2 linked regions of the Xenopus tropicalis genome follow. The protein of the gene in region 1 interacts with the protein of each later gene in a pairwise test. Links are inferred from orthologs where the notes say so. Each region holds a gene or a part of one and is shown in the gene's direction. Other genes may lie near its edges.

Evidence for each region.
Region 2: the proteins of rtn1 (region 1) and ugcg interact in a two-hybrid assay, tested with the Homo sapiens proteins (2 studies listed by BioGRID and IntAct). The link is inferred for Xenopus tropicalis from reciprocal best matches to the Homo sapiens genes RTN1 and UGCG.

The regions. Positions count from the first base shown.
Region 1 is NC_030684.2:102,880,693-102,884,524, forward strand, and holds part of rtn1 (reticulon-1), read left to right. Parts: intron 1-2,809; coding exon 2,810-3,574; intron 3,575-3,832. UniProt on the Homo sapiens protein: Inhibits amyloid precursor protein processing, probably by blocking BACE1 activity.
Region 2 is NC_030677.2:108,022,276-108,026,107, forward strand, and holds part of ugcg (ceramide glucosyltransferase), read left to right. Parts: intron 1-3,164; coding exon 3,165-3,306; intron 3,307-3,832. UniProt on the Homo sapiens protein: Participates in the initial step of the glucosylceramide-based glycosphingolipid/GSL synthetic pathway at the cytosolic surface of the Golgi.

The DNA.
Region 1 (3,832 bases):
AGTGATGTGGTAATGGCAGATTCTGTTAATGCCTTTAAGAGGGGCCTGGATGAGTTCTTGATCAATCAGAATATCCAAGGCTATTGTGATACTAATATCTACAGTTAGTACTAGTGGTTGTGTATATATAGTGTATGTATGTGAGTGTATAGATTGGTAGGTGTGGGTTAAGTGTGCTGGGTTTACTTGGATGGGTTGAACTTGATGGACACTGGTCTTTTTTCAACCCTATGTAACTATGTAACATAAAATATGGCATTTTTATCCATATTTATTTTAAGGGGTTAGTTCTCCTTGAGGGCCTATTTTCAAACCCAGTCAAGACCTGTTGGCTCCAAAACATGTTTAAAATGTATATAGTAACAGATTACATGGATAGTCAAATTATATAACAGAAAATAAATCTTACTTTGTATATGTACGTCTGTAGAGAAATATTTACAATGAACAATGAATCCTCAATGGACAGAATTCTCCTTATGTGTCTTGTTCTGTTGCTCTATGGCGGCATTTGTGCTTTAATCACATGGGAGAATATCAGCCAAAAACACTTGTCAGGGAACGTTGCAAGTCTCTTTCCCAAGGGGGCACTTGCTAGTTGCTCCAGTAACACCTAGCCCTGATATCCAGTCCTGGCATGGTTCCTGACCCTGCATGGCAGAACTGGATGCCATATATACAAGGGCTTGTGCACCACACATTTTGATCAAGCTGAACCCCTTACTTTTCTGCAATTTGAACCTTTATCACTTGTATTGTTAGTGATATATGTTGATTCAAGGTCAACAGTGAGATAATGATTGAGTATGAAAGTCATACCTAGGAATATTCTTCCAAGAACCCAGGGGAAGAACCTCACGCAGCACTTCTGACCCCAAAATGTCTTTCTTATGACTGTCCTGGATAATCATTATTGTAATACATTTGAAGTATTATAGTACATGATATATAAAAAATATGTGAGATAGATAGATAGATAGATAGATTATACACAGAAAGTCACTTCTGGCCTCCAGTTAATCAACCCTGACATGGATAGACGCCTTTATGTTTTAAAAGTAAAAATAATTATTTTTTTCTTCAGTCTAACCCCTCCTTATATTCTTTTAAATAGTGCCCTTTGCTTTCTGCTCTTTAGCTCTTATAGAGTCCCCACTGTGAAGGAGATGTATTTCCAATGCTGTATTACAGTTATATAACATATATAATGTACACAATCACTAACAAATTTGACCAGAGAACAATTTATCTTAATAAATGATAAAAGGAGTAGACCATGTGATACCATTGGTGTTGCTAGATATTTGTATATAGTAACTTGCAGTAACTGGGAGAAACATTGAGATTTATCTGAACAGCAATTAATTCTCATAGAACATTCTGCCTTTCTTGTGCTAAAGGCTTGGGAAACCATCCGTATCATACACATATGTATGAAGCAGCTAGTGGTTTGATATTGGAAGCCTGGAATGCCAAGGTCTTCTGGATTTGTAGATGTCTTAGCTAATGATCTAGCACAGTGCTGTGCAACTGGTGGCCCATGCCCCCCTCTTTGTTTGGCCCCCACTAAAGTCTGGCTGCTGTGTTTGCTTACCTTTGTGTAAGATTTAAATGGGATCAGTACTGAGATTAACTGGCCACTGCGTTGTTCACACCTCAGATTCAGGCTGTAAGCCCCTGTACTATTCACACATGTAAGCCCTTGCATTGTTCACACCTGTAAGCTACTGCATTGTTTACATCTGTACCACTCTTCATTGCTCACACTTGTGAGACCCTGATAGGTTTCCTTGTTTCATGCCTTTCTTTGTCTGTGCCTGCTCTGCCCTCCCTGTGTGTGCCTCACTCTGCCTGCCCTATGCTGCCTGTGTGTGTCATACTCTGCCTGCCCTATGCTGCCTGTGTGCGCCATATTCTGCATGCCCAATGCTGCCTGTATGTGCCATACTCTGCCTGCCCTATTAATATGACTTTATAAACTTTTTTTATTTACATATGAGTGATATCCCTGCAGTGAACACCAACCATTTGGATTTTTGGTGTGCTACCACCATTAATGTGGATATGGTCTTAAAAGGTCTTTGATAACATGGGTGTGGTTTAAAGTAGGTATGGTTTAAAAAAGAAAGTGGTCAAAACTGGCTTCCATTATTGGCCCTCAACCATGTAGGTCAGAAAAATTATGGCCCTCAGTTACCATGGATATTAAACAGCACTGATCTAACAGATGTAATGTTAGAGCTGTGTACTTAAAATGTCAGGGCCCATGTATACAGAACTGCATCTACAGTCCAATGTCGATCCCACCAATTCTTGCCAAAAAAGATTTTCCAGCCTTCCAGAACAATAACCTTACTAAACCTACTCAGCAAGTGAGTGAGCCTGCAACTTACCAGTAGTGAATGGTAAATGTTTTCCTGTGGCTTATGTCACACAGGGCTATAAACAACTGCTATTTGGAGCTGCCTACGTTTCATTCTTTCCTGAGAGTGCATATAGAAAACCTGTTTCAAACAATTTGGTAACTACCCATTGACTCACTTTTTTTGCTGCCTCTTTGCTCATGAGACCCCAATAGTTCTAATGTGGTAGGGTCAAGAAAAGGTGCACGAGTTCAAGTGTTTTTTCAAAACATCTAAAATTAACTTTTGTTTATCCCTATGAGAATCACCTAAAAGTGCAAGCCCCACCACTTGCAGAATACACCCAAAGACAAGCACTCCCACTGCATGTTAAAAAACCATACAACAGTGTTAATAGTGCTATTATAGTCATATAAGTTTTTCTTTGTTTTTCTTTGTAATTTTAGATTTCACCAGTACTCTTCATTTACATGATGCTGAATCCAAGGAACTACCAGGAGATGAAAATGGCTTGTCTTACACATATCTGTCTTCTGATAAGCACTCTCATACAGATTCCACCTACTTTACTGGTATCTCCAAGAAAGGAACTGAGTCCCCAGACATAAAGGAATTCAGCGGTGTTGGGCCTCGATCACCCAAGGAGATACCAACATTTGATTCTCGTGGGTTACTTAGTTCGGATTCAGGAATAGAAATGACACCTGCAGAATGCAGTGAAGTGAATAAAAGCTTGGCTGACCCCACAGAGGAGGAAAAACAAGAAGCTTACAAATATATAGATATTAGCAGGTCACCAGACATGAAACCACAACAGGTTCTGGACAAGGATTTTGGAGAAAATAAAGCAAGCACCATAGGCCAGGCTGCTCCTACTGAACAACAAGCTTATGACAGTGTAACAATGTCTTGGCAAAAAGACCATTACAATGGGAACATATCTGAATATTTGCCCTATGTACCATATATGGAAGAACCAAGAAAAGACTTTGGCTTATATAATTCACCAACATCCAAAGAACCCAAATCAGCACCTGTGACAATTAGCTTTACTGGGATGGAAACTACATTACAAACAGAGTACCCAGAAAATCAGCAAGGCAAATCAGATAAAGGCTTAAAGCTAAGTCCTGATATGGTACCAACTGTTACTGTTTCAGAGCCAGAAGACAACAGTCCAGAATCTATTACACCCCCATCCACAGATGCAGGTAACAAGTTTTTGAACAAAATGTTTGGTCTAAAGCAGATCGTAAAAAATAATGACCACATGTGACCTACCAATAGGATGAACTGCCACAATTTGCCAACTGTCTGTGTTATGGTGCCTGGTTCTCCCTAAAATCTTACTGGTGTAATATCAGCAGTACACTCTTTAAAGTTAAACTATAGACCCATGTTCAGCATGAGCCAATAATAAGGCTGGTGTTGAAATGTTGCCAGGGGAGTATCTCAGTTATGGATTTAGA
Region 2 (3,832 bases), on another chromosome or scaffold:
TTTATTTCTAAAATATTTTTTTCAGAAGGAATCGCAAAATCACCTGAACAAAAAAGTGATTACAAGGTGAAAATGTTTTTCTGTAAGAAACCGCAAATATGTTAAAATCTTTTATCCAGCTTGTGTTAAATTTTATTATAATCTTTATTAGCACTACACAGAGAAAAAGTGTACCTTAAAAGTCTGCTGCCTGCAGGAAAGTGAGGTTTTAATTTTTTCAAGCATAATGAGTTGGCACAAATGGCAACCAAGGATTTTTTTTAAGGATGTAGATCTATTTCCCAGTGTTTGTGTGGTTAGCTGACTTTCCACTATGGAATGCAGGCTGAAAAATTCCTGTGAGCTTGCTTGATGAGCTTTATTTCTTGGAAGTGTTGCATTCTGCAGTTATCTTGGTGCTTGGGGGGGGGGGGTGATAGTGGCCTCCAAATAGGAATGAAGGAATGTGAATGTTTTTCAAATTGTTTGGAACTGGACAAATGAGATGCTCATTCATTTGATACTTCTAGTTTTTTTTTGTTTTTTTTTTTATATTTTAACATTATGCCCAGTAGTATTGTGTGTATGTATGTATGTATGTATGTATGTATAGATAGATATATAGATATAGCTATATAGATATATATAGATATAGATATATATAGATATATATTCACACATGTATTCATGCTATATATTGTTGCTACACAGTTTCTCTTTCCTTAAGTAGCTAAAGGCATTTGCTTCTTCGCTAACATTTGTTTAATTATCCTACTTTGCTGACGTTAACAAAACACTCAAAGCAATTACAGACTTGCTGTCAAGGGACCAACATCCACTGGCATTGTGCGTTTCCTTAACTGACTTTCTTCTGTGCCAGGGTTTATTTATTGAATTTTTTTCATCTGCTTAATATGGCTGAAATGAGTAGATTTTTTTAAAACATATTTCATAGAAATCAGAGGATAGATTTGCACTGAAGTAGTAGTTTTTTTTTTTCTTACATTTGTGTTCAAACAAGGTCTTTCCATATTTTATAACAAGGTGATTTTACTTTAAAGAGTAGCTTTAAATGTAGTATATAATGTTTGTTATAAGGGCTATGGCACACAGGACTTAGCAACTACCAGTTTAATGAGCATCATGAATGCACTATTACTGGTACTTTTCAGCATTTGTGGGCTTATTTTAATAGCGCATACTGCACTTTTAAGCATCCTTGGAGCTGGTCTTATTTTTATTACATACACTGTGCACTGATGCAAACTATAAAATTAGCAATCATACTTCCACCTGCAGATGTGGTCGCCAAACAGTTTCTGGGTTTGCAGAAGCTATATTTAATTCACGCAAAAGCAGAATTCTTTGCTCAAAGCAATGAATTTTCGCATTGCAAATATTTTTCCCATTAACAACTTTTAATTGTACATCTTCCCCTCAGGCTGATAGCTTTGTTGCCATTAAATATAAAGAACTGATGTGATATGCAACAGCAAGTAAGTACCTTTCCCCAGTGAATCAGATTGCTATCTATGCACACAGTTCTGGGAAAGAGAGATCAGTACTTTCCCACCCCACTTAACAGCTGCACATTTTTCTTATTTCATTTGCACACTGACCAATCAACACCATGCTAGTTTCTGAATCCTAAGCAGTGGATGTGGTAGTGGAACCTACATAGTTATGTATTATGCTATTCAGGGAGAGGAATTTTGTATAAAATTTTGTTTCGGACATCTCTGAAGCTAATATTGGTTAATTTAAGAAAGTTGGATTAGTAACATTTTGCACAAAAAGTGATAGTAGTATCCTGCTATGGCATTCCCCTGAAACCTCTTAAAGTGATTTTTGGAGATTTTTGTTGTGAAACTAGTTCTGCCAGGTGTATGAATCTTTCCAGGCATTTGACATAGCAGGAATTGTGGCGGCTAATAAAGTGTGTTTTGGACCTGTCATCAGAGCCATGTAATTGCCCCGGTATTATGCCTTTACCTTATTAGGATTAAATGATGAGGCAGACAGAATTGCATCAAAGTTCCTTTTCACAATGCACAAAGACTCTTAAATGATGTCTGGTTTGAAATGGCACAGTAGTCTTTTAATATTTTAATATGCAGTCAAGTAATGGAAAGTTAGCATATTGTAAAATTTATTTTTTAACCTTGATTGACCCAATCTCAGGGGTTGCAGTGAGATGGAAGACCACAAAAGAAAAAACTAATAAGGTATAGGGAATACAAAGGAAAACTTTGTAGGGGTAAAATAGTATAAACACTGGTTGACAAACTTAAAGGACATGTAAAGCCTACATTTGCCTACAATGTATATCAGTTGGGCAGGTCTCCCCCACCCAAATGGCATCATTTGTACTGCATAGATCCCCTCCGTTTGCCAGCACCATCACATTTTCCTAAAGCAAATAGCAGCTTTCACCCGGTGGCCATTTTCCCTCTGATACATAATCCGTTACATTTAAATCTGCAAACAGCGTACACACACACAGACCCTTATTCAGCATACATTTCATCAAGAATGCAGGCTCACACAGGCAGAACTGTCTTTGATAAAAGGTCTGCTGTTTGAGCTGAGCAGACAGCTAGAGCTGAGTTTCTATGGGAACCAGCAATGCCATCTCTTCACTGGCTGCTAGACTGGGGGGCGTGTTTAGTAATCTGAGTTTAGAACAACTGAGCATGCCCACAAGCCAACAGTCAAAGCAAATTCCCGAGGGAGGGGGCCGAGTGGGTTACAGGAGGAGAAGGAAATCTAAGTGATTAAGGGCCTTACTATTAACCTCTGGACAACCAGGGTGGCAGGTATTGAAAGATTTCAAATAGGCTGTTCACTGATTACATTTTTGCGTGTGAGGTTTACATGTCCTTTAAGAAAAAAGGTTGGTTTTTGCCTTATTTGTGTTTTTTTTAAATTCAATATGCCAACCCCATATGTGATTAAAGGCACTAAGTTTGCCCAGGAGCAGTAACCCATAGCAACCACCTTTTAAACAGGTGACAAGTAAATGCTACTTGCTGATTGTTTGCTATGGGTTAACGTTTTGGCAAACTTGTGCTTGTATTACATAACACCTTTGGTGTCTGATTCTGATCTATTAATTATTATACATATCTTTCAATCTTTAAGGTACCACATTTTTAAAAAGTTTTTATTCTCTTTTCTTATTACAGAAGGCTACACCTGAACAAGAAGGTATCTGACAAGCAGCCATACAGCAAACTACCTGGTGTTTCACTTCTTAAACCACTGAAAGGAGTCGACCCCAACCTTATCAATAATTTGGAGACATTCTTTGAATTGGACTATCCAAAAGTAAGGAATCATTAGGTTTTGCTTGATCTGTTGTATCTGAAGCATAGTTATTAGTTGGGTGCTTCAGAAGAATTCACAATTGGCTTATGGGGAAACTCTTTTTTTCCAAGAGAGCCATTTTTCTTTGTTTTGTACAAGACTTCCACTGGTTGCTAGGGATTAAAGTTTATTTAAGTAATCAGATAAAAGAACTAGCAAGAACTATATGTATGTTTAACTGTATCTGTATGTTTAAACCCAAATAAATAGATTTTTATGGTAGACAGGTGACATTTCACTAAGCAAAATGTGCAAATGTACATTTGTAAAGATGTTATTTGAAAGTAGCTATATTTAATACTTTAGCTGATGTGTAAGAGCTTGCCCTGCAGGCTTTAGAACAGCATTAGTTTTAACAACTTTCCTTTCTGTGCAAACCTTTTATGCATGTTTTGCCAAGTCAAATATTAGAGCCACGCCTTTCGTTAACATTGCTTCTATTCAAAAAGGCCCATAAGGCTTCATTAGAGCAAGCAGCTAACCTTGT